Linked DNA regions of Drosophila melanogaster. The protein of the gene in region 3 interacts with the protein of the main gene of each other region in a pairwise test. Each region holds a gene or a part of one and is shown on either strand. Other genes may lie near its edges. The genes, in order: CG33144, CG9316 and CG14053.

Region 1 (10,980 bases), on a different chromosome or scaffold from region 3:
CTTAGGTACCTATTGTTTCTGCGGATTTCCGGTATTATGGGCGTAGCTTGGATACTGATCATTTTTTTGTTGATAGAAGTGAATTCCACTTTTTGGGACATTTTCGGTATAATAATCCAACAAATACATTATGGTTTTGGTATCATTTTATTTGTCCTGCTTATTTTTAAGCGCAGCACCCATCAACTGCTCATTGCCAAGTAAGTTATCCTATAACTCTTATTCCGTTAATAACATATATTACATATATTAAGTATATTACAATCAGAATTCGTGGTAAGAACCTACACCAGCAGACCGATGTTTGATCTTCGATCAATAAGGAAATGCTCCAAAGTCCACAAAAAATTTTTAAATATTTAAACCTATTGGTTTTTTTGTTTATTTTTGTAATTATATCTAAATAAATTAACAATTCGCCTCAAAATCTTTAAATAGATATCGGGGCTGTAAACCCATATAATTCTAAAACGTGGTTCCGGTTAGAACCAGGACTTGGGAAAATTTCTTTTTTATAACTTAAAAATATCGGGAAGGCGAAAATAGGATTACATTTACATTTAGATTCTAAGATTAGATTTCTTCAGCATACCCTATAATACATAATAATAATACGCTCACGTTTTCACAAAATATCTGATAACTGGATAAAAATTTTAAAATTATTTGGTTAAAATTGGTCAGATGGACAGGAATTGTAAGCGAACAATCATTGATAACGTCGTAAGGTTATTACAAATGCAGCACTACTAAAAATTGATCTTTAGGGTACCAAGAATTTCGTGTTAGTTGCAATTAAATGAATAATAAAGTTTGCAAGAAAGCTTGTTGTTTTTCTTACTTACACAACACTAGCTTTCTAATAAATAGGAAGTGAATAATACTTTAAGCAGTCTATCACTAAATGGATAACAAAGGATTTATATCAAAGCTCTCACATTTAATGTCTCTAGTGAACAGGTGCACATTTTTCTCGCCGGTTACATGTGCTCCCACAACGAAAAGCAAGTGAAAGCCATTCACTTTTATCATTTACCAAAAAGTACCCCAAAAATATCGAGAACTACGGCACATTGTCATTTATTTCGACTAATGATAAATGCGATTTCTTTCTTCGCTTTCGTTTGCATTGAACTGGAAATGTATTTTGACAGGCGAGCGAATATACATATATAAATTGCCGGCAAAATATATGTGTAGAAGGCCAAAATCGACTTACCTGGCCATGTTACGTCCTTGAAAGCTTTCTACTGTTTGTCCTTCGTTGCGGTCGCAATTTCAACTGAAATCAACATGCAGGATGACGATGGTGCTCCTCTTTCTGCCCCTGCTCCTTTTTATCCTGCTCCCTATTCGGCTGCCGACTTTGTCCCAATATCCAGATGAAAGGCAGCCACTTAGATCGTTTGTCTCTGTCTTTTGGACCTGTTCCTTTCTCTTTCTCAGCCTCAGATGGTTGATTGAGTTTGAGATTTATGCCTTAAGTGCTGCTGGGGGATTTGTTATCTTGTCCTTTTTGGCCCGGCCTATACGCATATCGTTTGTTTGCCTTACTTTCTTTTCGGTGGCTCTGATTCCGCTGAAAATGGTAGAATAAAAACAGTTTTATAGTTGATGATGATGCTGATGCTGATGCAGATGATGATGATGATGCTCTGCGGTTTCCTTTTTGCTTTCAATTTACATAAGCAGCAGCATCATTAATATTGCAAATGTGTGTGTGGATGCACGGACAAAAATAATAACGTAATACTAAAAGCTTTTTACGAAGTTTCAATTAAAATGGTAGATATTGTAATAATGATTATACACACACAAATACATTTACAATTAAACTATACAAACATCTTTTTAATCTCATATTTTAAAAGGAAATGACGAAATTTCCTACATATTTGATCCTGTCTTTAAATTAAAGTAAAATTATATAAAGTTAAATATGCATTAGTCGTTGTTGAGCTCTTGTAAGTGCGCCATATGTTTATGATTACTTATTTTAATTATTAAACAGTATTTTCCATTTTAATAAATTAATCTTATTTTTACTGTGTCTATGCGTGCCTGTTTTTGTTTCCTTTTGAGTTTGCTTTGAGCACTTCTGTAATTTCATTTCCATCCCTAACAAATTTAGCTCGTTGCAGACATTTATCATACGCTCTGTGTGCCATGCGTTCTTCCCACCATAAATCACTTACTTCTGCCTCTGCCGGTCTCCCTCTTCCCGTTGGAACTCCAATTTTCCAAATAAAAATGACCAAATGCAATTATAATACGCCATCCAAACAACTTTTAATGCCAACTGACAGCTGCCCAAAGTCTGCTCATCGAAATCATTGTGTGTTGTTTTATGTTTCGCGCAAAATGTTATGGATTGTGAGTTGATTGATTGTTTAGGCCGGATTGTCCAGCTTAAAGAAGCTGGGTTCGGAAAAATATAAGTATATATACATATATAATATTTGGAATTTGAAGCAAGAAGTTTGCCCACCAATTGGTTTTTTTGCCCATGTCCAGTTTTGAAAATATCAAATTTCGAAAACTGTCCGAGATGAACATGTTTTATAACATGTGTTACATTGCAGCATTGCTTGTGGCAGGTGTCCGAAATCTTGGTTTGGGTTTGAGGTCTAAGTCCTGGGATGAGTTTTGGTGTTTCAAAAGCACAACTTAAATCAATGTTCCAGCACTTCGCAACAAGAACGGGCCCCATATAAACAGCAGATGTACTATGGAAGACCCAAAAAACACGCCCATTAACAGAACTCTTTTATGGCCGCTCCGCCCTCTGTTTGTGTCCCTGGAGAAAAGGGCTCGATTAGGGGACGATGTGAGGGGGCGTGTACTATCAGCTGTTTCCCATTATGACTACAGCGGAAATACACAAGCAAGTGGAAAACAGTCGAGGAAAAGCGGAAGCAAAAAAAAGGCCGCCACTGGCAATGCAAACACAGTAACACACTAAGGCACAAGCAAAACTCGCTTACACACGCAAGGCGATAAAAATAAAGCGAAGCCCACGGAACGAGAGGCAAAAATTGGAACTAAATGCGTATACGTAATGTGATAGAACCCACCTAAAAAAAAGGGAACTACGGAGTGATAATAAAACAATGGCACCGTTGACGACACTTCTCAACAAACATTAAGTAAGGGGAAAGAAACTTTAAATAGCTTTTTTTTTCGAAAAATATCCTTTAAACTCAAGTTCAGATAGATGTAAAATAGCCCTATTTTCTATATGAAGAAATGACCACCTATACTGTATCTAAATATTTTGTAGTTACTATTTTTCTTCGTTTTTGTAGTTCACTCGATAAGGTTAAGCAAAAAATGCCAGCAAAAAAGCAGAATCGAAAGGAAAAACAACTTTTCGTGGAAATACCGTGGTGAAAATCGAAAACCGAGAAAAGCGAAAAACAAAAAAAAATGTTATAACCACACAAAACTCACACATCCAGACACATAAAGCTACTTAAGCCCGGACACATCGCACACATTCAAGCGAGGGGAACCCCCCCCCCCCCCTGACAGCTGCCATGGCAAACGTGCGAAAGGGACGAAAGAGGCGATAGGAGCGACAGGGACGGGCAGAAACAAACAGTGGGACACGGAGCTTGTCACTTTATTTGGCTCGATTTCAATGCACTGCCAACTTGGGCATATTAGTATGCAAAACTGATAATCAATAGGCGACGACTCAATGCCCAACGCTCAGTGGAGATTATGGCGCAATTTGCATACGGGCATGTGCCATTTGAAGATGTCACCACCCGTATCCCTTATACCGGGAAATCCTCTGAATTCGTCCTCTCAACTCCGACCAGCGAAGGACTCGCTGTCGTTTAATTGAGCCAGACCATCGCCAGCGTACAATTTGGTGTTCTATGTGTGGAGCGCGAATTTTTTTCGCCCTTAATTGAAATACGGGATAATGACTCCAAAAAGCTTTCAGTCTAACTTGCCCTGCAACGATGGATTGCATAGATCAAACATTTGAAAGTGCAAGAAACTGGCTGGAAAACTGTACAGCAAATCGCAATTTGGTGGCCAATGTCATTTGTCAAACTATAAAATTGGGTTTTCTTAACTAATAAGCTTAAACAACTTGTAAAATAAGTTGTCACACTGATCGATTCTTTAGCTCAAAGAAAAAATAAATTTCTTTTGAATAAATATGTATTTTATAATATTAATGCCAATTAAAAAAGTACTCGCATTCAAGGTAGGTTTTCTCCAAAACATTTATTAATCTACACGAGCATTTTTATACCTATTGCTTTCCTAATATTGAAATGAAATGCTGGCAGGAAATACCATAAATATGAAATGCTATACCTTTTCATCGGTTCCTTACGACCTCTTCGCTGAAATTTTTCAATAACTCTCTGGGGATTTTATGGTCGCAATTTGCAATTTATCATCAATTTGATGTGCAAAGGGCCGAACATAAAAGTGGCTCAAATGGTAAATGTAACAAAGGGCAATAACGACGTATGTATATGGCTGCAGCAGGCGACTGACTAACCCCCAACTAGATCCATAAGCGTAAAGCTTGATTTTCTATTGATTTCTGGTCAGAAGCTCACTGCTATCACCTGAAATTCTGAGTGAAATGCACCTGCTGCTCCTACACGAAGAGAAACGTCACACTCTTTGATAGGTTAATGCCAGTACCGAATTAAGTTGCCCATACATTAAAACCTAAAATCTCTTTTTTATTGCAGTACAACAGAAATTTTGAACATTACAATTCATAGTGGTTTATTTTATGCGAATTTATTGTTGTTGCCCATTTAAAAGATTATGAAAATATTTTATTTTATATATTTATCATGTAATGTATTCATGTACTACAATTTTCTCCAAGTATTCCTGAGTTAACTCTTCAGCAGAATAGCAAAAACTATAGCATACTTATGGGCCGCTTTGAGAGTTGCCATAAGACGCTTAATAACTGTGAGTAGTGCCCAGCAGGGGCGTGTATGAGGAGGGCACATGGCAAGGACATGGGCGTCGAATTGAGGGTACTCCGTCCGATGTACGTGCCAATGGCCGTAGTCGCAGTAATAAACACACGCACAGCCCAGTTAACACAGAAATATGCCCCAAGTGTCAGGGCGGGCAAAACATGCGATGATGAGTGGGGAAAGTAGAGAGGAAATGCGGGGGGGGGGAGCCCAAGGAAATGGGAAATGGATTTTCAGTGGCCTTTGTAATTGTTGTTTTTTGTATTATTCTTGTTTTTCTTTTGTTTTTTTTATAATTACTGCGATAGAGCTGGTTTTTGTGTGTAAGTGTGTTGCTGTGGTAAGCACACATAACGGTAATTTAATTAACATACATAAACACTCACACCGGCACACATAAGGAGAATGTGGCACACAAAGAAAGGTGAAAGGTTGGCGGAGGGGGTTTTACTTCTTTGGGCACTTACGAATCGGTTTCACAAACTTTTCGACCCTTTGTAATCGATTTCGAAATGGGGGTCTAACACGGTTTTAATTAAGATATTTATACTTTCGAAAAGCACTTGACAATTTTTGATTATTTTCAATATACTATTTTAATTCTTGATTTGATCAACAAGCGCACACTAATTTCGGCTATACTTTTTATATATTTATAATTTTGTAAATTTTTTTTTATGATTTAACTATATATCTTTGGAGGTGTGTGTTTACAGGTTCCTTTTTGATTTTATTGTGTTGGCATTTTGCTGCTTTGCCGCCGGATGTTGCACGTTGCGCCAGCACTTCCGCTTTGCGACCGAACCAACCGTCGAGAAACGCGTTCCGCAAGCGAATAAACAAACGGACTTCCACCGCACACATTTGTCGCACTTCCATGGCCAGTGTTGCCGTGCTGCACGTCCTGCGCACTGCGCACGACGCGAGAAGAGAGAGTTTCCCTCTCCCGCTGCTCTCTTCGAAATGCAACCTGCTGACGGAACATCTGTGTTTTTGTTATTATGCTTTTGTCAGGGCAACAGCAACAACTGTAGCATTCAATTGCAATTGTGGCAACCGAACATCCATGTATTTCAATTACACTCACTCGTATGTCGGGGTCACCGAAAATAACTGCCGACTAATTGATGGCGCACAAACGATTTAGGAGCACATTTTGATTGATTATTGCGAACTTTACATATGCATAAGTATGAACGTATACGTCCAGTAATTAATCTGAGTTGTCATAGGAACAAGATATAGATATCAAATATTTAACGAATTGCTATTGTCTAAGATGGTCGTATTCATCAGAAATATATCTGAAATATACATATATCAATATGTGTAATAATATAGACAGGTAATTTCTTCTAGCCAACTATATTGGTATTGAAGTTTAGAAGTGGGTTATTGCAATGATTTTTATTTTTAATATTGGCTTTATGCCTGTGAAAATAATCAAAAATTGGTAATAATGTCAATTTAAAGGAACCCGGTTTTTTCGAAGCACAAATATGTGGCTTGGACAGCTCAAGTACAGCGCCTTTTTTGCAGGACGATTTCCACACAATTGCAGGATTTTGTGCCTCGTCGACGACGCTGCTTAATGTCAAGGTTTTTTGGCTGCTGTTGCAAGTGCAGCAGCAGCAGGAAAAACAGGAAAACCAGAAACGGCCGAATGAGAACGGCACGTGGCCAGCCCCCGCAACGAAAAGGGGCCAGAAAGGGGGTCGATTATGCCATTACCAGGGCAAAGCTGCACCTTCCGCCCCCGGAACCCCCAACCCCCTGCCAGTGCGCCGCGCATGAATGCCGCGACAGACCCGATTCGAAAGCCAATGTCAAGTGCACGCGGCACAAGGATATGGAGGCAGGAGTATATTACAGGCCGCCATCTGCCCCACTGTCAGTTCCCCTTCCTCAGTGCCCACAGCAGCTACAGTGGAGCTTCTATAAATTGACATTGGGCTTTCATCAATATTGAACTCTTCGATATGGACTGGCTTATGAAGACTCGTTTATAATAACACATAAATCCTATTTTCATATACGGCTTAAGTTTGACATACACAGGCTCGACTGTACCTCATCATCGAGCATTAGGACGGTCGTTGTTGTGACCTCCAAATTGGTTGGCACACTCACCTAAATGGGAGTTTATCTATATTTTATGTGCACGACTTATACCTCAGGCCCATTTCACTTGATCACCAATTAGTGACTATATGCTCAATATTTGCCAATATCAAACATCAGGTGCTTCGTCAATTAACTTGTTAATTAGATAGGAAATAGATTCTGTGGTTATAATTGTTTTTGTACCGTATTATAATTGTTACTACTTATTGTAGACGAATTTACATTAATCGATATCCATCCAAATTAGTCTGCGAATTCATTAGTTCAACAAACTACTCAAGGATGATGAACTTTTACTAAAACTAATTCCGTTCATCGGCTTTAAATAAAATAAATCAACTGTTTCATAATAGTAATTAATAAGTCATATTAGTCATATAAATAATAAGGGTCCACACACAAAATTGAATACAAGATAAAACGCTCTTCTCATTTGATATTTATTCAAATTATTATTTAATGTAAGTTTTGAACTTATTTATGTTAAATAACCTAGTGAGAATGAAATACAATGTTTTGTTTGTTTCTTCTTTACTGACTGCAGTGGATTGACTGCTTGGCATAACTTGTTTATTACTTCTTAAAAATTCTTCAATAATCTCTTTATAACTTAGGCGTATAAACTCATAATTCCGGCTAGTTTCGAGAACGGATTACCAAGGACAAAAGTAAATTACATATCTTCTACTAAAACTAGAATCTAAGGAAGAGAACAGACCAATCCGTCTACGACCAGGTCTTGGGAACACTGAACGGCCCGAATCGTTCGTGACTATCAACGCCCCGCACAGCGAAGTAATACCTCTGGTTCTCCTGGAACTGATTTAAAGTCACTGCCATTGGCAGCAACATAGCGCTGACATCGCCCACATGCCGCCAGCTATCCGTGCTGGGCTCGTTAATCGTCTCCTGGTATGCATAGATCTGGTACATTACGCACTCTGCGAACCGCGGGCTCGAATCCTCCAGAGTCCAGGATATAACGATACCAGTATCAAGGAGACTAATCCGGATAACGGGTCGCGAAGGAGGCACCTTCCAGGATGGATTGAAGGGCTGGGGAGGAGACGTGGGCAGTGGTGCAGGATGTGAGTATCTTAGACGAGACGCTGGAGGCGGGGTGTTTTCCGAACGTATCTGCATAGTTACGTTTGAGCCCAAGGGACTTTGCTGACCTTTGAATACGTTTGAAAATAAGTACGCCGAATATTTTGAATATAATGATTTTCCAACTCACCTCCTCCATTATTATGGACTATCTGTCGAGCATTTACGCGAGGCAATTGCATTGGAGAAGCTCGCACCACATTTCCGCCTCCTCGTCCTCCTCTCGTCGCTGCTGCAGTCTGAGCATTCCGCTTAAGCATCTCCATACGCAAACGAGCGTTTTGTGCTTGGGCAGCCCTAGCCGCCGCCGCAGCCGCTGCATCATCCTCATCTGTGAGGTCAATGACTGCCTTCTCCTTGGGCTTGGCCGGCGCCAAGCTGGACTCCTGCTGCTGTCCATAGCTGCCCAATTCCGATCCACTGCTGCTAGATGAGATGGGCACCGAGACCGTGGCCCCCGAAAGCGGTGGCTGCTTGGCGCGCACTTTAGTTGTGCACTTCGGCACTTGCTTGGCGGGACTCGAACCTGGCGTGGGACCGGGACTAGGTCGAGGTCTGCAATATGAAACAATTGTAAGTTAGTAATGTGAATATGACATGTTTCTTTTGACGAAGAATTTGAGATCTCGGCGATTATACGGACGGACAAATGGACGGACGGACATAAACATATTGATTCGACAAGTATATTTTTATATTGGTAACGCTTTTATTTACCCATTTGGGTTTATTACCCCAACTATAAAGATTTTCAATAGCAATAAAATATACTTGAATGTTAAGAAAACAAAATTTTTTCTGGCATATCAATACAAATTGGGAAATAGAATAATAAAATTTAAAAAAAAATCTATGTATGCTTTTATAGCCACTGAGTTCGAGGCGTTCATATGGACACACGGACGGACATGGCCTGATTGATCCAGATAAAAAAAATATATACGGAAACTCTGCCTTCTACCAGTTATATACTCTGTAACGAATCTAGTATACCGTATTACTCTACAAGTAAAAATATGAATCTATTTAGCTAATTGGGTCTGAAACGATTCCCAATAAATTGCTAATTGTAAACTTCTGCACAAGCGTGGAATTCGCTTTTAATCGAAGATCACGATTAGGATTATACTCACAGTAGGAACTGTTGCTGCGCCTGTTGTTGCTTTTGTTGTTGTTGCAGGTGTTGTTGCTGTTGTTGCTGCTGTTGCTGGTGCTGTTTCTGCTGTTGTTTTTGCGCCAAGAAAGCGGCTTCTGAGTTCCGGGCACGCATGACGGTTTTATTAATCGCATTGGCCACCGATGAAGGCGTGGAGCCAGGCGTTCCGGTGTGCTTGGAGGCGTGCATTGTCCTTTGAGCTATAGGCGGTGAGGACTGCAGACGTTGAACGCTGGACTGATTCATAAGCATTGGCGCGGGCTGTAAGTTAGTAGGTACCGGCCGATGGGGCGTGACCTTCTGCAAGCAGCCCCGGCGCACAGGTGGCGTGACACTAGCCGTTGTTAAGGATTGAGATGACCGTGCTGCTGGCTGCTGTTGCTGGTGATTGGAATTCGGAGTGACACTGACGCCCGCACCCGTTTCCGATGAGGATGTGGATGGTCCAAAGGTAGGCGGAGGAGGTCTTGGTCGCACGGTCGCACGCGTCGGGGAGGTGCTGGCCTTGGGTGGTGTTCCGCTGGGCGGCGCCAACACGCTGCCAGCAGCATGAGTTGACTCTGGTGCGGCGACGGTGGGCTTTATAGCCTTGAACGGAATGCCCACCTGAAGACCAACAGCTCGTGTTATACGCACAGGAGCGGTGAAATGAGAGTTCTTAGCCTCCAAGTCCTTAAGCACACGCTTGTGCACCGTCTCCAAATCCAGGAATTGCTTCGACACCTCGGCAATCTTGCGGCGATAATTGGCGAGAGTGCTCTCGCATTTGTCCAGCTGCATACGTATTTCTGCGAAATCACTTTTAACCATCATCGCCTCGACGACTTTCTGCAGCACCAGCTCCTCCAGGTCGTCACGGGTCATTGTGTCGAAACTACGTCGGAAGGTCTTAAAGAATTCCAAGCGCAGGGGCTTAACATTCTGTTTAATTTCTGGAACGGGGTTAAGGTCGAAGTCCAGTTTCTTTTGGGTATCTTTTTTGGGGGATTCTTCTTTGTCTTCCTGACCACCCATATCAATTTGTAGCGTGCCTTCGTGGGAGCTATTTGAGTCAGAGTCTTCAGTCTTAGCTTTCTTATTAGGTATTTCCTCCTGAGGGCTGCTGTCCAGATGTTCATGGCTCCGCTTGGTTACATCCTTCAAACCACCCTCTGCTCTGCTGAGTATTGGTAATGATTCTTGATTCGTCTCCGCTTCGAATTCATTTTTTTCATCGGTACTAAGACGCAGCCGTTTTGGAACCGACTCTTCCGCGTACTCGGCGGGTCGCAATAGATTGCTGGAATTACTGTTCCCATCCTCTGTGGTAGTTTGCTTCACCATATCATGGGTCTTCAGTTTCTCGAACTGATCGCATGCATTGTCGGAATTGTCTATTTGGAGATTCTTTGCTTCAACTGATTCTGTAGTTGACTCATTGGGAAGTCCTTTTAAAGCTGTTTCCTTTTGGATAGTTTGAACTTCCTTTTCCGATATCCCATTCTGCGGTGTTTCATCCTCATCCTCGGAGACGAGAACAACTTCGTCATCCTTAGCTTGTGGTTTCACAGAATTTTCGTTCGTTGGATTGGCTGTGGTGCCCACATTTTCGGTCTTATCTAGGGGTTCAAAGAATATAACTTCGTC
Region 2 (11,229 bases), on a different chromosome or scaffold from region 3:
GTGGGAAATGCGTGTAAAATCAATAGTAGGAGTCTTTGATAAGGAGGATGGCACCGGGCATTCGAAATAATTCAGATGTGTGTGTATTTCGGGCTGTAATCACTTGGCCTAACCTATTTAGTATAAATTATGGATGATGGCCGTGATTTGGTAATTCGATGTGATTTGTACATTTCTTTGAAAAGAGTTTTTATCTATAAGTACGTTGAAAGATGTACTTAACTTCATTACGAGGTTAATCGGTTCCAGAAAACGATTGTTTGATTTTAATATATATAATATTATTCTAATGCCTTTGGTCTTACTGTGCTATGGAAAAATAGGTTTACAAACCTTATTAAATGGCTTTAAGTGCGAAATCGATTTTGAATCCACCCATCCTTTCCGCCGCACTCGAAGGATCCCATTAGGTCGGTATCCCATTATCCTTCGGTTGCGGCTTCAGTTTTCGGTTTCAGGTTCAATCGGTGGCCCATCAATTGGCTTTGTCGATTATCAATTTCCAGCGCTAATTGGCGTGCATTATTTATAGTCGAGCGAGCACACGACGGCTGGCTGATGGCACGCATCTAATGACGTCACAGGGGAAAGCGCGAGCAGAGAAATCGATTGGCGAAACAAAGACGTCATCACTTTGCCGTCGGAGGACATGCGCAGCGTAGCAGAGCGAGACAGCAGACGGCGGGCATGAATGAATGAGTGGATGTTTGCGGGAGGGGAGCGGAGGGGAGGGGGCTTCTTATCGCGCTCAGGTGAAAATAGCCAGGTGAGTAGGCAGAGCGGCAGAGGAAAAACACCGGCCGGCGGCTCAGTTTTCCCCTTCTTTGTGGCCATCTCGCTTGCGCGATGACGTCCTTGCTGCGACACCAGTCGTCTCGCTCTCGTCTGACGTCACTTGTCCTTGACGGGGTGGTCTATTTCCGAGTGTGCAGCACCACCCGGCCATGACGTCACGGTTGTGCTGCCTGGCTTTCCGCTCCACTGCAGCGAAAGTGCCCGGAAATAGCCAGAGGATAACGACACGTGCTGCAACCCCCCGCTCTCCGCTTCCCGCACCCTGCTCCCTTGGTCCTTCCACTGGTTTTGCTCCGTAAAAATAGTTTTTGCAGTGACCATAAAAATGCAGCGTGACATACGTTGCATGGAAAGTTGAGTGGGAAAAGGCTGAAAATAACAATGGAATATTTTAAAAATATATCAAATAAATTAAGTAGGTCTGAGTGGTGGTTGAGGGGGGGTGGTTGGGGGGGTTCATATATACGCAATAGTAGTGCTATAAAAAAAAAACGATTATGAAATAGTTAGTCGGTGTATTTTTAGCGCTCATTTTATCACATACTATGCAGATTTTATAACAACCGGCAACTAAAACTGATTAATGAGACATCTCAAGACCCTCAACTAGAATCTAGAATCACCTGACATTGATTCGGTTCGCATGCGATGGCATTAGGGAAATAGCCCGCTCCCAATGGAGCAGCAGATATCCGCCTTGGCTCATTTGTAAATCGCGCAGTCAACAATTGATTTATGCAGATGGATGGGGTTCTAAAGGTTGCCCCGGCGAACGGATTGTGAATTGAATAACTCGAGTGTCCCCCATCAGCGGCCGGCGGCCATTCGATACCGTCACACTTTTTTGCTGTCCACCAGCGGAGCCAAGATGCTCCGAGATGTACTGCATGTGAAAATCGCCATAAATTAAATGGCCGCTGCAATATGTCAGTGATAAAGAGCACACGATGTTCTAGACAGAACCACAGGCAGCTCCAGTTGCAAGCTCCCAAGATGGAAGAAGATGCCGCGGCATTGAAAAAAAAAATCTATATATTGAATTAATTCGAGAGTTGCGGGTTCAAAAATTACAGGTCTTTTGGCCACAATAAAAACGCAAGATAATAACTATTGGAGTTTATAGTTATGTTGTATGTGTATGTACATTGAAGGCACTGTTTGAGTTTTTAATTATTTAAACATAAACATTTTAATATTCACGAAGAAACCACTTCGGTAACTGGCTCTTCAATAAAAAACGGAATAATCCCAGTGCATACTCAATTGCAAGTGCAGACTTCTCTAATTGCCCACCACAAACTAGAAGAACACTGAACGAAAACTTTCGCTGAAAGTAAACACAATTCACTAAATAATGTTTCTAAACTACTTAAACTCACTCAGTATGTTTGTTATTGAAAGAAAAATTTGTTCATAGAATCAGTTAGCAATTGTGAGTCTATCCGCATACAACGTCCCTTGTTTTTTTTTCAGTGTCCAACTCTGTGGCAGTGGCAACCAGTTGCATGTTCGGAGGCTCAGAAGTGGCATCTTTGGTCTCTCTCTCGGCGGCGGTTGTCTATTTTCTCACCTGCGGCGCTCAAAAGTGACCTCGACCTGTCTCAAGCTATATAGATAGATATATATATATATATAAATATATTTCTATATGGATACATGTGAGTATATCTGCTTGGATAGTCGCTTATTTATTGACATTCAGTGAGGCAATCGCCTGGCCGCAGTGGGCCATGTTGTACGTCTCTATATTCCAAAATGCATAGATTTGTATCAATTGATAGTGCAGAACAGAACAGAACAGGACAGAGAACTTGGTCAGCAGCTGAAAGGCAACATGCAATCGCGTTGTCTGCCAGCGGCTTTTGTCAAATTGAAGGTAGCTTCTACACTCGACCCTCTATAGCTAAGTGCACATACTCTGCCGTTGGAGATCCGGCGAATGGAGTTCCAGGGAGCCGCACAAAGTCGGGGCACCTTGACAAGCCCAGGCACGTCTTCGGCCGACAATTGGCCAGAGATGTTGGCCAAAAGATGCTCGCAGTCGGGCTGGCTTGATTGTCTCCCCTCCACTTGTGCCTCGAACCTCCAAGATTCCGAATGCGGGTAATACCCTATTCTAACGATTCTTGAAAACATGTGCTATGCTAATGAAACTAAATATTAGTACTAACTATAATTTATAATTGTATAAACTTATAAATGCAATATAATTAAATATAAAAAAATATTTAAGACTCATTTTTTTTTTAAATATATTCAGTTAGGAGGCATAGAGCATTGGCAACTCCCCCTGCTTGGCTAATGCCAATCAAATTCCATTTGATTTCACTTCCCTCGCATTTTTCGGGCAGTCAGAATGCGCGGAATTAATTAAGCGGCTTAAATAAGATGTACTAACAATTTGTTGCTAATGTGCCAATCAGCCAGCCGCCTGGGCCCAAAAAGTTCATCAGCTTTGGGTTGGGGAGTCAAAGAACAAGGAGTGTGCATTACTAAATTAACTTTTGCATCATCGACTAGCGAATCACCAGCGACCGAATCGTGCATGAAAACATCTCCGAGGAATCAAATGAATTCGGATCTGCCCCAAACACAGAAAAGAAACGAAATATTGTAATTTCAATATTAAATTAATGTTGGCAGCTCTTGATTTCTTGTTGCTGGTGCACCATGGTGTTGCAGCATGTGGCGTGCCGCAAAATAATTTGCGAGTCCAAAACAAAGTGGGTCGTTCGCCGCATGACTGTGGGTGGGTGGCTCATAAAAGTTTATTTCCAATCGAGCGGAATAGGTGTTTCACAAAAAGCATTAGAAATTAAGATTGGATTGAAAACGCAAGTTTTACAATTGTAATAGTAAGTGGAATTTACATCTTTAAGTTAGTCCAGCAAAGTGGAACCAATGTTACTCAATATATTCAAGAAATTGATTAGAAAGTTGACACGGAAATGGGATAACTTCTCAAGATATTATGTCAGGCATATTGTCAGTGTTGGTACTTAGCTTAATTGATGAAAAATCGTTATAAATTATAATCGCTGCACTTTCCCTTGTGCCTTTTACTTCCACTCACTCCGCTGAAGCGAAAACCCTAAGATTCCGCCCCTTTTCGTTCGGATTCTTCCCAGACGTTGGGCGATACCAAAAGTTCATCCATCGAGAGGTGTGCTAAGCGATAGCAAAAGCCATTTCCCATAATCGCAAGCCACCACAACAACCCCCCCCCCGAACAACAACAACAACAGCAACATTAGGAACAACAACAAAGTCACCGAGCAACAAACAACACGAATTTCTATGGCATCAGGGTAACAATTTTAAGGCTTGTCTCTCTTATGAAATACGACAGCCCAGCGAGATTTTTAAATAATTCACAGGCGTGATTGGACACGCTTCGAGTATATAGTAGTAGTATCTGCCAGATACGATACTGCAAAGGGGCAGGGTACGCCAAATTATCCCTGCTTAATGTGCCCCACTCATGCAAACCCTGCTCCTCCGGATGAGCCGAAGATGCCACCGCAACTTGTGGCCAAATGTCAGCAAGCTGCCTGCTCTGCTGGTCCAGTTAAAGTACACTAATTAGTCAGATAGCCGAGCATGGCGGACACCTGAACATGTCAAGGCATTCGCCGGGGTGCCCCTGGCCACCAGAACCCCTGCTAACCCACTGCTAACCCCCTGCTAACCCCTTCTAGCACCGTCGATCGGAGAGTCGCGGCGATTGCAGCCGCCGACAGCCATTTAAGGAGCCACTCGAGGTCAGTGTAAAACAAATAGCACACGCAAAAAACAATCAAAACGTATAGATGACTAACCAGTGGAGTAGTGGAGTGGCCACAGGTGAGTTCGCTCTACGATCTGCACTGCAAATAATTCTAGAGAAAAGGTGTCATACCAAATCACACAAAAAACCTGTGAAGAATGACTGGTTAAAAGATTTAATTGAACCCAACTGGACATATGTATTATAAGAGTCCTGCAAGATACATTAGTTCTATAATTAAACAAAATGTTTTCTATTTTTCCAAGTGTAATCAACTGGACGCGGTCACTTAGCTTCCTGCTGCTAACACAGACATCATCGGCCAACAAAGCAACAAAGTTCAGTTCCAATAGAGCAGCAATTGAATGCGAAATTTATTGCCGGCGATCGATCGCTTGGATCGAATTGAATCGCGGATTCAGAACTGTATCGAATATCGCGTATTGTTCGATTTCGGTTTCCATTCGTTTGGCTTGTTAGCCAGCCGCTTGACGTACTACAGCCAAAGGCCCAAAGTGCAGCGACACGACCCACACACGTTTGTCCGCAATTATCGGCGTTCTAATGGAGCATTGTGAGCATTGTGATGATCATAAATTTCGATCGTCCACTTCCTTATGGCAGCCATGGGGTCATGACTCATCGATCCAGTGAGGATCCCATTGTCTTAGCTATCCGCGCTCCAAGGCCATCGAATGTTCCACTCACGGAAGAAGTGCCCACCACGTCTATTCCCTAATCCAGAAATCACAGCTACGGTTCCTTATGGCAAAAATAATACTTGCACTCCTTTTAAACTGATTTTTATTAATAGAAATCAAATTTGATTGGTTTTGGGCAGTGTCTCTCTTGATATTTGATGTTCAATAAGAAATGATTCCTTGGCAACACAAAATTTGATCAAATTATTGCAACAATTCATAGACATTTATTTTCTTACCATTTTCCATTCGAGTGGTGTCGTTTTAAATAAAATTAACCTTTAGACGATTCAAGGAATTCACGTAATCCGGATGCTGCAAAATATGAAAGTGTTAGTATATGCTTTCGAAACTCCCGCCCCGGTTTTCCCACCGTCAATATAGGCCGCCTGATCATGGTTCCCTTTACATTGAGCACCACATCACGACCTGATCCCTTCGAGCAGAATCCAATGGCCTGGATCACAAACTCCTCGGTGATCTGCTCGCAATCGGTCAAATCAATAACTTTCAACTGGGGACACTTCCGCAACATCCTCATCATCCCCACGTCCATCACCCGACCGCACGCGGTCAGACCAAATCGCTCCAGCTGGCTGAGATCGTTGAAGAACTTGAAGTGATCGTCGTCCAGGATATCGTTGTTGCTGAACCGCAGATCCGTGAGGCTACTCAACTGTCCCAGGCACCTGGCGTGCTCATTGGTGATATTGAACTGACCGGATAGGTGCAGATGGGTGAGCTTGTTTCCTCGTTTCTCTGCCAGAACCGTAAGGAACCCAATATTCAGCTCGTTGGAGGTCATCCAGGTTTTCAGTGTACAGCGCTCCAGCTTGGGCAGGTTGGCGATTACCTCGAAGTTGGTGTCGCAGCCGGAGAAGATCAGTTCCACCAAGTTCGTGCAGCTCTCGGCGATTTTCTGGTACAAGCTCACATTCATAACCTCGAAACAACAGTCGTCGAGATCCAAAGTGTGCAACGACTTAAGCGGAATTCCAAACTCCATCGAGTTCCATAGCAGACAGTCTCGAAGGACCAAAGTTTTGAGATTGGGAAAACCGCAGAGATTTTGGCCTGTTGCGAAAATAAAGTCCCGCAAACGCATAAATAGAGTGCAGTGCATACCTACCTGTATAGCAACCATTAACCAGTTCAAAAAACTCCAGCTCCTGGTTGGGCTGCATATCAAAGTTGAGCACATCCTCTGCATCCAAACACTCAATAGTCACCCGTTTCAAGTGCGTCATTTTGGACATAATCGATCGGTAGTGAAACTCATCGGTGGCGTTCGAGTAACTAATCTCCTCCAGATTGGGGCAGTATTCCTTTACGAACTCCACCAGCAGGGACTCCTTTTGGTAGGACGCACAGTCCACTTGAAGGACTCTGATGAAGGGTCCCGCCACCTTGAAGAACCTGATCAATTGCGGCAGAGGCACCGTCTCCAGACTAACCATGTCCAAAGCATTTCGTTGCACTCTCGCCCAGCCCTCGAAGGCCGCTCGGAACTTGGGCGCCACACAGGCCAGCAGAACCTTATCGGTAATCCTGGGCAGAAACTCGAGAACCAGTCGGATGATGTCCTCCGGCAGATCAAGCAGACTGGTCCTGCATAATGGCGATGGCGATGGCGATGGCTCACTTTTTTGGACTCCACCCGGGCGATTGGAGCGAACTGGGAATGGAGTCTTCACTGATCTCGAATGCGTTTTCGCCTTAGGCATTTTTTGGATTATTTGCTTGTACGTAAATTTAGATTAATTCATTTTTGACACTGCCCAGATGTTATGATAGGAAATAAGGGAAAATCAAGCTCGACCTTGTGTAACCGGGTAAATATTAGAGTCCTGATACCGTAATTCAAGATCCAAATCTAAATACTCCAGAGATCTATAGGGAAAAAGACTAGGACAAAGGACCATCTTAACGAATCTTTGGATTTGGAACTGCGTACTGAACTTAAGTAGCAATATTAAGAAACTACATTTTTGCTTGCAAGATCTCCTTGGTGTCAACATATTTGTGATCTGATCCAGCATTATGAATTCCCATGGGTCCAGGCACTTCCTACGGTTGACAGTGACCGCCAGCAGTTTACGGTCGACAGGTGGGGGCAATTTCGCGCATTCCTCTATTATTCACCGCATGAGCAAGTTTTCTTTTTGTTTGACAACAATTAATTGCATAATTGTCTGAATAAATGCATAAATCAATTACCGGTGATTGAGAAGTCGCCATACGATATACGCTACACGTACTTATTTATTTATTTATTTTTACCGGATATGTTTGAAGAATTAAGTTTCGGTTTTTGTTTACAAAGCTTTTGTAATTCACAAAAGCAAACAACTTAGGCATAATGGCAATGCCCTATAATTAATGGAAAAGTAATGGAAAAGGAAAAGAAAACTGGTATTTAAAGGAGGAAATTGTTATAGATTTAATTTTAAGCAGTTAAAGTATGCTGCTCTATTTGCTCATAGCAAATACTTCTAAAACACGGAATCAAAAGCGTTTACTTAGAGAACTATTATTTAAATTATAAATAAATTAGTAAGCAATTAAATAGTGCTGTTATATGTTAAGTAACTTGTTGAAACATTAATTTCGTTATTTTTCATACAATGACAATTGCTAACATTGTGCTGCAAAAATGGTAAGTTTTTATGATTAATTATATTTGTATGTTTGTTTTTAAAGAAGTCTCTGCCCATAGTTCTATATTTAAAAAGATATCCCTTAGCGTTAAGCAATAGATTAGTAAATAGTTTATATGCAATCATTTTAAACTTTAGCGAAAACAAAGAATAGCCTTGCAGTTTATCTAATTAATTTTAAGAAATCTCTTCTAGATGTGACAATACATTAGATTTGTCGCTACAAATCTTAGATCCAATGAGTCAACTGCATGGTGCCATCATGCGTCCTCTGGGTGTCCATGACGCTCATTTGGCGCACTAATCGCTTCATCGAGGGCCGATGAACAGGTCGCCCACTTCCACTGGCCGTTGTGTCCAGGGGCGTACGCTCGTCAATGCGGGGAGCCGGCTCCCGAACCCGTCGACTGTCCCGCAGCTCCAATTCCACCTCAGAAGCATTGGTGGAGGATCCAGCCAGGACATCCAGGTTCTCGTACGACGCAGGTTGAGATAAAATCTCTCTGCAAAAAGTAAGCACAATATATATTAAATTAGTTTTATACCCGCCTTGGTCACCACATGCACATTGAACTCACGGCTTTTGAGCGCATCTACAGCAATCTTTGAACTGCCAGTTCTTGCCAAACTCCTCGCCCTCCTCGATGGTCTGCGGCAAGCGATGATGCAGTGTTTCCGGCAGCCGCAATCCCGTCATGCCGCCCAGCATCGAAAGGAAGCCCATGATGACCAAGGGCAGTTTAAGATTGTCCTTTCCCAAGTAGGTAATAAAAGGTATGCCAATGAGACCCAATCCTCCAATATAACTGGAAGCACCAATGCCGATACCCCGAACCTGAGTGGGATAAAGTTCCCCGGCAAAGGGGTATATGATCAGGAAGGAGGCGGATAGCAAGGCTTTGGATACTAGATACAGCACAAGGGTCTCATCCACGGCATCATCGGGCAACATTACAGTGATCACACAGGCCACGCCACTGAAAAATGTTGGACTTCGAATTTTACACAAAAAACACAAGATGATGGGTCAAACACCTACCCCAATATCATTGATAAGCTCAATGGCCATCTTCTGCCCCAGGTATCCATGAAGTACCAGCAGCACAAATAGCTCGGCAGCTCCACAACAGCCGACAGAAAGAAGCTGACATACTGATTGGTGCCCAGCGCTGGTCCGTAATAACTGAGTCCCAGATAAACCGTCTCATTGGCAAACCAACTCAGCGTGATTAGGATGGTCTTTAAGCGCATATTGGGGGTGCGACAGAGATCTGCTAGCCCCACATTGGCCATCTTTTTCTTTTGCTTCTTGAGCTTATCCCGTCGTATCTGAGCCTCCAGCTTGAGATGCACAGCCTCGGGAAACTCTCTGCCATTGACCTTTGCCATGCGCTCCAGAATCTTGAGAGCCTCCTCCAGGCGACCGCGCATCAAAAGCCATCTCGGTGATTCCGGCATGACGAACATGTACAGGAAATAGGCGTAAAACGGCAGGGATGTGATGTAGGAGAGGCGCACCCAATCCCGCTCCAGATAAGTGACGCCGGACAGGAGCATGATGCCCGAAGTGTAAAAGGTGCACGTCATCACAGTCACGAAGGATCGATAGTTTTCACCCACCAGTTCCAGAGCTGCAGACGCAGAAAAGTTAATGGTTAAAGTTAGAAGCAACAATGAAATACCCACATATTATAAATGGTATCTGGTAGACAGCTGGAATGGTCAGTCCTACGATGACTCGACTGCCGGCCCAAGTCCAAAAATCCTTGCTCAGCGAAGTCATTAGGCTGCCAGCCAGCAAAGTGGCCAAACAGACGAAATAGGAGAGCCTTCGTCCACCACGATCATTGAGTAATCCGAAAAGATAGACTCCCACTGGACCGCCAGTATTAAGAGCAGCCAATCCAATCGTAGGATAAATATCCTGATCGCACACTAGATCGAACTGAAATAGGAGGATTTAATGGTTTATAGTAAGCCAATCCTTCGCTCCTAGGTAAAGGTAGTACTGATGCTTGGGAAATGATTCGAGCAACTCCTACATGAATGACGTTGTAGTTTCAAATGAAGGCTTGGTGGTCTGGATTGCGCACATCAATCACAATGGAGGACCAGACGACGCTTGTGTTGTACTCCCATCCCTGGGGGCACTTGATCAGTGGCCAACTGGCATTCGGCTCCATGGTCGTCAGGTCATCCTCTTCCCCCGATTCAAGGAGCTGCGTCCAGTTGACTCCGTAGGTATAACATTTGCTGTAGACCAGTTCGTCGTTATCCTTGAAATAATTATTTCATCAGTTATTTCAAAATATATTTAAATAATAGAAGGCATAGAATATAAGGTTTACCTCTCCCCCATTTCATTGTTAGCCCCTTCGATTACTCATCGAACCACCCTCGTATCGACCCTTCACCTTAAGCAACGCACAATCAATGGGCTGACTTGATTGCCTTAGCCTCGGCACTCGTATGGCTGCAATTACTCACCAGTTCCTTGGGTATGGACAGCGATTTTCGCTGCTCCAGGGGCAAGTCGAGTAGCTCCGGGATGCGACACCAATAGTCATCCGGAGTATCAGCCATAAACAACTGGTTAAACGCACAAAAACCGCACGGTATGCAGGCGGGCAGGCAAATTCCGAAAACCAAGAGCTTCTGGTATTTGCCGAATTCGCCAATGGTGGGCAGAAGGTCGTCCAGATCGAAGGCCTCCTGGAAAGAAAACAGCAAATCTAGAGAAGATCAAGGACCGTGTCTCACAGATATGCACATCCACCGAGGGCTGGGATTCGGGCTTGTGGCGTTGTCGCAGCTCCGAAAGTTCATCGTATTCGTCCCCATCGTTGTCCTCAATATCTGACATGGATGCGCCTCTAGACAAGCTCTGAGCTGGAAATGTTTACTCACACTGCCCGATTGGCTCAGCTCACGGAAGCCATAGAAGCAACCACTGACAACTGTCAGTTGTCTAGGGTTGAAAGAATGAGCTGGTTCTGTTGATAGTAAAAAGTTTGTCGCAGTGGGCTCGATTCGTAATTTATATTTTTGTTTATTCTTTAGTCGCAAGTTAGATTTAAATAGTTTAAACTAAAGTATTTAAAATATTACACGTGAATTCAATCCTGCTCGAATTACGGCTAAGACGAGCCACTAATTACAGTTGTTAGGCTTTGATATTACAAGTAGAGAACGGGGTTTAAAGTACTTCGTTATGCAGCTCAGTACATTTAAAGGGATTTTAGTTTTTTTTTTCTTGATAATTTCTTCTTTTCTTGGAATCGTTGCTAGAGCTGGGAAATGGACAATGCTA
Region 3 (10,956 bases):
GTCGTACATTACGGGAATGGGCTACCGTTCGGAGACACCCTCCTCCGCATCGTACACCACGTCGACGACCCCGACTCCGGCCACTCAGGAGGAGATACTGAGACCCTCGTCCGCCGTCACGGCCACCACAACCACTGGCACCACTAATTCCGGCTCCACGGATGACGTGAGCGTGGCGGCCGTAGTGGATGACACGGATACCATTGACGAAATCAGCGATGACAACTGGGTGGACCTGAATGCGGACACCAACGATACCGTTGATACCCAGCCGGAGGAGCAGGACCAACTGCAAGAGGTGGAGGAGGAGGATGGGGCTAGGGGAGGAGTGTAATCCTGACCGCTTATCGCGTTATGAAAACATAGCGCAGCTGCACTCAAAGCCCACCCCCCCCCCCCCCATTTCACATTCCATTTATCATAACAATTTGTATACGTAAACAAGTATAATAACCCATTGCATGCTCCACTTACCTAGCTGCTAATAATAATAGTTTGCAAGGTTATATGTCGCTTATGTCATCTTCAAATCGAAACATATGCATTTTATAGATTTGGTTAACTACGGTAAATGGTTTTGCGGCCTTTTAATCGGGAGGACGTGCGATCGGATTATATCGAGTGGGGAATGCGGGTCCTCCTAATTGGCTCTCCTCAGAAGGAGCTAGGCAAGCGGCAGACGACAACAAGTGGCTTATGGCCACCGGCAACAGGTGGACGCAGTGGAGTGGGCACTAGGGACTGTTGTGGAACGAGATGCTATTCAAGCGCCCAAGGGGTACGTGCAACGTGACTTGAGCCGTACAAAGCGGAGGAGGGGGTGGCCTCCAACGGAGCTGCCTCCACGAAAGCTTCCCTCAAAAGCTGAAAAGCTCGCAGGCATCGGCGCTGCATTCAAAATACGTGGCCATACTGTTTTCGGGCGGCAGGCTGGCCAAAACGGCGGTTTGAACTCAATCCCATCCGATTCGGCTCGGCTCGGCAGTACGGAGCACGGCAAACGGACGACGGAAAGTGGATAGCGGATAGCGGATGGCGGATGGCCGGCCTTCCGCCAATTACGGGTCGCTGGAGTCCACGGCCAAGCGATTGTCAATTAATTACTCGCCTAGGTTCGATATCCAACGGCTTTGGTTACTGTGTTCCGTGGTACAAGTGCCCGTCTCAGCTTCCGCATCCGTGTACCGTGCGCATCGGTATCGGCATCCCAAGCGGCATCGGTGACCGTGACCCAAGGATCGACCGGTAGCATCACGTGCCACGTGCCGGTTCATCAAAAAGTGCAAGGGTAAGTGGCCATGTGCACGGTGATGAGGAAGTTCTGCCCTCCTTCGGACGTAGCAAATACCTCTTACTCCAAGGGGGATCTCTGTCACTTGAAGTAAAGAGGAGGTTTCAGTGCCACGTAACATCTTTGGGCAGAGGCCTACCAAACTAACACCGCAAACGGGCAGGAATTGTAGTGATGGGCTCGTAAATACGTGGGAAACGTTTAACCTTTGAACCCCGTAACCTTTTGTCTGCGTATATTACCCTTTGCCATGCATATTCGGCCACCCAGTTGCACGGTACGCCTCATCCCCCGGGGATATTGCTGAAATGAAGTGCTTTTTGGACATGCTCCTCCGTAGTCCGAGAGCTGCAAATAGCGAAACTGCATACACACAACATGGTAACATTGTAACCGAGTGGGAACGTGATGCCGGGGGGCAGGTTCCGGTGCACCGATATAACCACCTGTCACACACACATCCGTGGCACGTGCGCCGTTTCAGGTGGAGGGAGGGTGTTTGGTTTGGCGGAGAAAGCAGGCCAGAAGTGAAAGTGCAGGCAGGACAGAAAGCGAAGGTACAGTTACGAACGCCAGGAAGCTGGCTAATGGAAGTTGAAAGGATGCTGTGCGCCACTTGTGGCAACGGGACTCCGTTGATCGCCCGCCATTTAAGTGGCACATACCCGCACAACCGGATTCCCCCTTCGATGGATGTGGCAGGTGTAAATTCTGCTGTTTTCGGTCGAGAGCGCATGTCTTTTATTAATCCGTGCATAATTAGCGAGAGTTCGCCGGGAAAGGACTGATGCGGTCGCAGGATAAGCACTTATGGTATTCGAATAAGTGACACTGTGGGATTCAGGGTATCGACAGTAACCCATAAGTTTGGCTAAACCACTGACTTTACTGGCAGGACATGCAGGTAGGTACTAGCCAGGCCAGAACACTAGGATAATGAGCATGGCTATCGACTTGACCGCTGCAACCGGAGATCCTGATGGGCTGCACTGCCTCTGTGTGCCGTGTGTGCATGTACATATCTAATGGCAGCGCGCAGGAGGGGCCACCCAACAGGTGGCTGCGAAGAGTACGTGTCCGGCCCTTTGGATCGGCTTTCGTCCTGCCCCCCAACGCTGCAATTTTAATGCGGCCCAGCGCTTCTGACGAGTGCATGTTAAATAGCAGGCGCTGGCAGAGCAAACGACCCGTACGGACAGCATGAGTCCCAGGGCTTTTGGGTCGTCCTGTCCACACCCCCCACCCCCCCGCAAAGCGACCATTCCCCCCTTTCAACTACCACCACTGCCATTCGCAGGCCGCGCTCTTGGCCTTCGGCTGTGCCTTTAGCCAGTTGCTCAGTTGGCTTTGGGCTGCGGCAGGGAAAACGGCAATGCGGCATGTTTCGTTAAAAGTGGTAAAAGTGTACCTACTATGGCCGGTGCAGACAATTTGCCCTGATTGCCGAATGTCAATCTGGTTTTGTCAGCTAATTTGCATGCATACTTCAAGCCGGGCTGGCGCACACTATGCCCATGCCTTGCGCTTTTCCTGGCAGCTCATTTTCCGACTTTTCGCCCCGGTTGACGTTGACGTCCGCGCTTCCTTGGCCGTCGGCTGCAATTAAATCAATAGTTGGTACTAGGCAAGAGGCCAGACCGTAATTTGCCTACGAAGGCTATACAAATGCACGGAGATGGCTATCAGTTGGATGAGACCCACCTGCTAGTTAGGTAATTCAATTTAATTCAGATTTTCCGCCATAAAAACTCAGTATTTTGTTCAAAACAAACGAAATTATGGACCGAACACGGAATGCCATACCTCTGTGAAGTCGTAATTAAATTTCCAATCGATTAGCATTTAAATTTTCGATTTTTAATTTTTGAACATTTTTCGCAAATTTTAATGATGTTACCCCTTCTAAAAAAATCCGAAAATTGGCAAAAAAATTTTTTTTCCCAAAACCATTTAAAAAGTGATAAGGATCGTTGGCTTTGGCCATTAGCTTCACAAAACAGTAATTATAATTGATTTTTGGCCGTTTTTGGCCGAGTTATGCCAGAATTCCCTTAAAGCACTAGACATTCTTGGACAGGTTTTCTTTCCCAATTTTTCGACAAAAAAAAAACATTTTTGCCATACAAATAAAACTAATTGAATGAATTCGTATCCAAATTTTCAAACTATTGGATTTTATGTAATTGTTAAATATCTAAAAAGAGATCGTTTCGAGTCATACATAAAAGAGCTTTTTTGGTTAGTTAAGAACTAAATGCCTTTCACGACGACCCCAGCAATTGCCAGGTGTGATCAGATAGTAGCAGTGCCCAGAGAGATGACGCTAGTCGGGATCGAGTTCCGTTTCGCCTGGGGAGGAGGCGAGTGAATGCACCTATTAGGCGACAATGGGCGAAAGGTGCTTGGTTCCGATAAGGCGATTCGGGATCATTGTCCCACGGATGCGCGGATTAGGTGGTGTAGCATAACCAGCGCCATGGAATATTTTAGGCAGGGCACAAGGGAGAGCGAGAAATTTCGATTTGAACTGGAGACTCAGCTTGGCGTTTATTTGGCTATGGATCGGTGAGCTATTGACCGAGATTCGTGTTGATTCCGACGCTTATCGCTGGGCCGGATAGTTGTTGTTGTCCCGGGTACACAACAACAGAAATCCGTATTTTCGGGCAGTCCGTGTTACTCGTAATCTCTAACGCCGCCGGCAACGAGAACAACAGCAAACAGTGGTCGTCGACGGCGAAGGAATCGACTGGAACAGCAACTGGTGCCATAGGCGTAAAAATAGCGGGATGGGTTTATAAATAACCAAGCTGAAACTAACAAAGTCCGACAGCCAGGAGCGGACTTAGTTCAAGCGGGCTCGCAGGCTAGCCAATTTAGCTTCAACACTTCGCCAAATGCTCTCGGGCAGCGAAGCACGCGTCTCCCTGATCGATGTAGTCCGAGGCGGTGGCATATTCACAGAAGATGACTGCCATACGCGGTTCTTGAAGGCCTCAAAGCCGATCGTCCACAGAACATAAAGGGCGTTCACCACGGACAGTGCCACGACCGCCTTTAGCAACATGCCAAAAAACGAAAAGCGACTTGGTTGATGCTCGGAGTTCCCACGTGGTTCCGGTTCAGTTTCGCTTTCTACAAATATTGTAATTGATACTTCATCATCAGATGCGGCATGACATGGGCATGCTGTCGCATCTTCAGGTATTGATATTTTCAGATCTGTTGGTTCCACCGCCAGTGCGTTGTCTGCATACTCCTGCGAAACTTCTGGCTGCGACACATCTGTCTGACTACCGAGCGTTACAAGAAGCTTTCCGCTGTAAACACTGCAGTCCAGTTCGACGTCATTTGTCTCCAGCAAATCGAAGTAGAAACTGGGGGGCGGTGTCTCGTCCTCCAGCTGGGCCACATCCAAAGACGCTATCCAATGGAACACCTGAAGGGGATCTCTCACGGTGCGCGATGACTGATGGACAGTCTCCCTTTCCCTCTCCACTCCGCATTCGTATAGGTCGTCCGATTGGGAGATGTCCATTACTAGAAAATATATACTTTTTTTAGTTTTTTTTTTTTAGTTTTACGGATAGAAGGAAATATATTCCGGGCTTCCGTAGTGTGTGAAATATGCTTGCTTGAATGAACATGGAGCTTGAGGCGCCTGACACTTGGCAACCGGGTATATATGTACATAGGTTCCTGTTCCAGTTCCTGCTGCGGCGCCAATTCGCTCCTTGCGGCAAGTCAAGCCTGCAGCAGCGCTCCATTTCATCCGGCCTGGACTCCACTATCTTATCAACTAGAAATGGGGCGTGGCATGACCACCCTCGGACGAACTATGCGGAATTGATTCCCACCACCATTCCCGTTCCCGGTCCCCCTCCCGCAATCACCCCTCCCAGCGAGGGCGTTATCAATGGCCTGGCATAATCGGCTATCAATATTGTCGCATTACGACAACCATAAACGCGGAGCGGGAAAGGGTTTGGGAGGGCAGGAGCCGACGGGCGTGTATATAGGATCACGGGTTGGTCGACCAACTCACCTGGGATGGCCTACCTGTGACCGAAGGCCCAGTCTAGTCAGCCTGGTCAGCCTGGTCTTGGGTCTGGTGTGTATTTTTAGCATTAGAAATCACTATTTGTACAGCAAATTATGCGATCAGTGCGAAGCGCGGTCAAGTCTGACTTCCCATGCTCGCTGACTGCGTGACTCCTCACGAGGCCGAGCTGTATGTACCGTTCCACCAAGCCCGTGTAGAGCATCAGACATTCGCTGTGGCCCGCGGGGAACTCGCCGTCTCATCGCCGACCTTGATAATGCACTTCTTTTGGCTGCAGCTTGGATGGCACGCGAGCCTAATCGATTTGTAATTTGAGCTGCAGTAAGGCTGCATGGGCAAAGTTCGATTGCGATTGCAGGGGAAATACAAAAATGATGGGCTGACTGGATGAATATTGCAGAATTTGAATAGGTAAAAACAAAAAAAATGTTTTGAAAACATAAAAAGTAATAGGGTTTGCCATACTGTGCTGCAATCTTCTGCAGCGGATAAAATTCGAAATGCAGGCGATGGAAATAACTGTTTATCCGTGTGCACTGTAAAATAAATTCATTTCTAAGCAAAAAGGAAATAAGAAGTGGGGTTCGACTTGGAATAGAGTATAATAGTGCTCAGTGTGGGTCTAAACAGGCTGTATTCGCTTTTTATGGCCGTTGTGATTTCGATTTACGCACAGTTCAACTCGAGCAAATTTGTTAATTAATATTTAACACTAAGCCAGAAAGGCGTAAGCAATCGAGACCACCCCCGAGGCCCCCCGCTGCCGCCCGAAAGTGCCGTGTTATTTGCATGCAGACAACACAATTGGAAGCACGAAACATGTACGAAATATTATAAACTGATAAGGTGCCTATAATTCACAGCAGATTGGGTCCGATCACTTGGCGGCGCTCTCCCTCTCCCGCTCCCACTCCTGCCCAGAGTTCTCCATGCGCGCTCTTTGGGGCTGACCACTGATAAGGAGCGAGGGAGCAGTGCGAGAGGCCTGGAGAGGAGAGTGCTTCGCTGTTTGCTTGTCTTTGCTGCCGTTCCTTCTTCGGCTGCTCGGCGCTCGGCGTTCTGCTCTTACACGGCTCGCATTTAATTTAATTCGTCGCCTGCCCTGCTGACAGCGACATCGGTTGCGTCTCGCCAAAAAGTAATACTCGCTCCCGCGATTTGGAAGCCAGTGAAGCCATCGGGAAAGGGAAAGCAAAGCCGGGAGTCAGTGTTAGAAGCACCATTATTGCCGTTCAGTGTGACCGAGTGTGCATTCACCGCAAGGACATATCGAGTGTGGCCAGTTGCTAAGGACGCTGTACGTCAAGCACCGCAGTCAAAGTGCGACGCGATCGAAATCGCATTCATTCAGTTTTATTGAACACTCGACGCCCCGTTCAATCCGTAATCTCGACGATTGGACAACTGCAATTGTAACGCGAAGAACACAAACTGTCAACAAAGTCGTAAATTCGCACACTGCGGCAGTAAAGTGAAGCAATCGAAGGGAAAAAAGCCAAAGAGTGCAGGCAGCAACAAGTTAATTACCAAATAACAGGCGAAAGGTAAGTCGCCTGGATCAGATAAGGTGATTGTAACTATCGCTGGGCTAGCGACCAGACTCTTAAATATGTGTGATCTTGTACATCCGATCGGATCACCGATCTCCGATAATCACACCGATCCAATCCTCCAGAAGCGAAGCGCCATCGCCTGGAGTCGGAAAGCCATTCAAATGCCGAGAATGCATGCATTTCGTCGAAACTATTTTTAAACAGATCGTTTCTATACTTTCGGCTTTTTCGGATTTCTCTTTCTCACTTGGCGCGCCTGCAGACCCAGAACGTGGGAGAAAAAGAACAGAAGTGCATTCATTGCTCCCCACCTCCTTTATCGCTCGCCAGGTGGCCGTGATCGATATTGATAGCTCCCTGATATTGATGTTGACTAAATGCGAGACTTGCGTTTACGACTGTGTGGACAAGATCGTTGGGAAAGATTGATCGTGATCCCGGGTGAAGTGGGGATATCAAACAGTGAAACTAAATTCTTCGAATTTAATCTGCTCGTCAAGTTCAAGTTGATACAGCAGTGTATGGCGAGAAGTTAGTTTCCTGCAGAAGTCCACAGGATCAATTTAGAGCACGTTAATAAAATTTTATTAATAATAAAATTAATTGTCATTAATTTCCCAAGCCGTAGAATCCGGTTAGTGGGTCAGTATCTTTCCCTGGCCAGGTTCAATAGCCTGGTTAGCTGGAGGTGATTGATGAGAGGTTGTGGGCATGAGATTCCGAATGGGAAGTGAGCACAAAGTAAGCCCAAGGCCGCAATAATTACAAATCCGTGACCGCAAACGCTGAAATTCATTTAGTGCCGAGCAAAGTGAATTAATTTCATAATAAACAAAGTGCGAATGACAGCTCTTCCAGCTGAGATGCAGTTGAAAAGTCGGCAAGGATAGCCGAGGCATAAATCTAAACGGACAAAGGCAGCTGACACTATTCCTGCCCACAGTACTCATAGTTAAGGAGTTGTGAACTGGAAATGGATCGCATACTACCCACGAATGGGGTGAATCACTCAATTCGACTGCATGCCCAAGCTTTTATTTGGCAATCTACACATGCATTCGTTTGTTTTGATACTGTTGGTTCAACGACTTTGCTGATCAGTCAACAGAAATAGTAGCAAAATAGAAGCCTTGGGGCTACACACGAAGAAAATGTTGCTAACTTTGGCAGCTTATTGCTCCGAATATAATTCATTTTTCTAATGTTGCCTTCGAAACAGAGCCAGAACAGGAGTGCAATCTAATCCCGACACTTTGATGATCATTAATTTGGCGAATGATCTAAATAATTCTCAGTGCCTCACGTAACCGAACTGTTCGTGTTGCCTTTGCTTTTGTCTCCTCTTTTGCTTTTGCTTTTGTCTTTGCTTCTGCTGATATTGCATTTTGCCTACTGCGCACATTTTGTCACATTTTCGGGGCTATCTCTCGGCTCTTACACTCATATGGAGATAGGTCAAGGGCAAAGTCCCGCGAGTGCCCCCCACCCGATCGATGAGTGACTGGGTGCATCCAGTCCGAGTGCTATCGCTCTTGGGGGAGGGGCAGTGGTGGTGCTCTGGTTGCCGGGCGAAAGTGCATGGTAAACAAGTGGAGGGGTTCGGGGCCACATGAAGTAGAATTGAGCAGTAATTACCGATTACGATCCAGTTGGCAACTGGTTCATCAAATCATTAGTGCATATGTCCACTAAGTACGCTTACAAGCATTTTTAAATTCAGATTCCTCCGTTCGTTGCCCTAAACGGTATTGCAATGAATTTGTTGTCCTGAGAAGCTATATGCTTTCATAATCACAGTCTTTAACAAAGCTAATATTGAAATTAATGTTGACTCATAAAATATATTATTAATCATAAAGTTAATATGTGTCATGACACTAAGTGTTTCAATAGGCGAATAGAGCTATTATTATATATGGTTCCATATTCATTCGATTTAAAGTAGATCAGCTGAAACCAAAGTCCAATTATGTGCGAATAGATGAGTTTCGGTCAAGGGGCGGATATTCAGTAATAAATATATGCCGTATTAACTAAATTCCTTTGGTCCGCGCCGCCAACGTTGCGTATGCGCAATCTCTTTGTCGGCGATATAAGACGAACGCCTGAATGTCATGGTCAGATTTTGGACCAGCCGAGTCCATTGATAATGCCGTATTGCTTGAGGCTCTTGAGGTAAAAGTGTATGGTTCTCATTTACGCTGATTTGATTTGTATTGTTTTAATTGTCTCTGATTGCACAAAAGAGCGACGCCGACGGATGACTCACTCCGCCCAAGTTGGAGAGGCTGGGGATGCGTTTCCTGTTGACTTAGTGCGACTAGAAACCACATACAATGGCGTTCTGCAGTATAACGCCCCTGCCGACGACCGTCGCCCGATTGTTCGTTCCTAATCAATTTTAGGTTAAGTTTTTAGCCTTTGTTCATGCCTGGCTTTCAGTGTAATGTGTGTGCATATCAAGTACTGGCTGATATGGCTTTGGAAAAAGTGAAATGGCATTTGTTTTTGTTCGGTCGTGGGGGGAATACCCACCCCGCCGCTCTGTTCGGTTCGCATCTGCTTTATCACGTCACAATTATCTTGCGGCATTGTTGCAACTTTTGCGCTTTGTTTCCACCACACAAAAACGCAGCAAAACCAACAATGATTGAGCAGGCAGAATTTGTGAAGGCCTATGTATGTATATTCATGCTCTCTCTGCTATCTTCAAAGCTAAAGAGATGGGAAAACAAAACATCAAAATAGACGCTTGCTATCTATATAGCGAAAGAAAAGACCTCTACTGTAAATCGAAAAATAGACAGAAATTCACCTTAAGCCTTAGTTAGCTGACGAAGCGAGTGGCGCACGTTCGTGACTTTCTCGCCGCATAAACGAACGACTTTCCGCGCTGATCGCTGGGGGTCCAAATGGCAAACGGCTCAGCTCCGATCATCCACCACAGTCTGGTGTTTTTCTGAGCCGAGCCTGATAAGCCGCGTTGAGATCTATATATAATGTAGCGATGTGCCACCTCTCCTGGCTTGCCGATTCGAGGGGCAATGGACAATGGAATCGTAAGCGGAATCTGCCAAATAACCGTGATTATGGGGACCGTGCTAATGAGCAGCGGGCGGACTGGAAGGCCGAGGTCAATGGGTGACTTGGGGGCTGATAACTGCTTTGATTTGGTTTGCTTCGCTTTGGCCCGCCACCTATATTAGCATATATTCTGGGGCTTTATGTACATGGGATTTTAAATTTAACCTGTTCGCTGCTGAGCATATAAATGAGAATTAAATAGATTAACTAAAAAGTTGTAAGTTCTAGTTGTTAACTAGAAGTTGTTGTTTTGAAAACCCCAGTTAGAAGAATTCGCAGAATTCCCGTCCCCCTCTGTCTGTCAGATTGTACATTCCCCACCAAATTGTAAGGTCTATCTGTTTTGAATGTTTTTAGCAGGTTCAATGAATTTGGCCGAGCTCGGCTGATAACCAGGGCAGACACACCAGCGACAACATCCTCTTCATCACGTGTTTTCAATATGCTGGAACTTGGCAATGACTGCCCTCTAATTGCTTTCATTTGTTTACCGTTTCAGTTGCTGCAACATGAGCCGCTGGCTTTAAGGAGCACATCCCATCAGCAACAGCAGGAGAAGCAGCAGCAGTTGCCACATACAGGCAGCAAGTGCAACCGGAGAGGAGACCCAATCGCAGGTCAAGGTTCTTCCGGAAACCAAAGCAATCAGCCCAGGGCGACACCAGCAACATGGTACACGGACCGCCGGCTCGCAGAAAATCACAGCAGCAGCATGAGGCCTGCGAGATGGACATGGAGCGGCAGCCCACACCGCCAGACGGCGGATGGGGATGGGTGGTGGTCTTCGGCTCCTTCATGATACACATAGTTAGTAAGTGAAAGTCAACTGGCCTCGCCAGTTTTTCAGCGATTAGGGGCGTTATAAGCAAAGCTTAAACTCAGTACTACTGAGTTTAAGAACCCACGGTATTTACTAGTCGATTCCCCGACTGGAATGTGCAACACCCCTCGAATCGGGTTTCAAT

Evidence for each region.
Region 1: the proteins of CG14053 (region 3) and CG33144 interact in a two-hybrid assay, tested with the Drosophila melanogaster proteins (one large-scale study listed by BioGRID).
Region 2: the proteins of CG14053 (region 3) and CG9316 interact in a two-hybrid assay, tested with the Drosophila melanogaster proteins (one large-scale study listed by BioGRID).

The regions. Positions count from the first base shown.
Region 1 is NT_033778.4:10,792,906-10,803,885, forward strand, and holds the start of CG33144 (uncharacterized protein), read right to left. Parts: upstream 5,805-10,980; 5' UTR 5,435-5,804; intron 1,580-5,434; 5' UTR 1,220-1,579; intron 205-1,219; coding exon of another isoform or gene 6-204; intron 1-5. Other genes in the region: mthl13 (methuselah-like 13), read left to right, coding at 6-204; wde (windei), read right to left, coding at 7,818-8,266, 8,329-8,753, 9,332-10,980.
Region 2 is NT_033779.5:20,719,471-20,730,699, forward strand, and holds CG9316 (uncharacterized protein), read right to left. Parts: upstream 7,082-11,229; 5' UTR 6,987-7,081; coding exon 6,392-6,986; intron 6,337-6,391; coding exon 5,636-6,336; intron 5,578-5,635; coding exon 5,527-5,577; 3' UTR 5,502-5,526; intron 5,442-5,501; 3' UTR 4,739-5,441; downstream 1-4,738. Other genes in the region: CarT (carcinine transporter), read right to left, coding at 8,149-8,422, 8,498-8,896, 8,959-9,550, 9,606-9,864, 10,013-10,195, 10,407-10,631, 10,690-10,782.
Region 3 is NC_004354.4:2,188,142-2,199,097, forward strand, and holds CG14053 (uncharacterized protein), read right to left. Parts: upstream 5,769-10,956; 5' UTR 5,337-5,768; intron 4,919-5,336; exon of another isoform or gene 4,832-4,918; 5' UTR 4,830-4,831; coding exon 4,137-4,829; 3' UTR 3,498-4,136; downstream 1-3,497. Other genes in the region: CG3457 (uncharacterized protein), read left to right, coding at 1-334; Mct1 (monocarboxylate transporter 1), read left to right, coding at 10,661-10,802.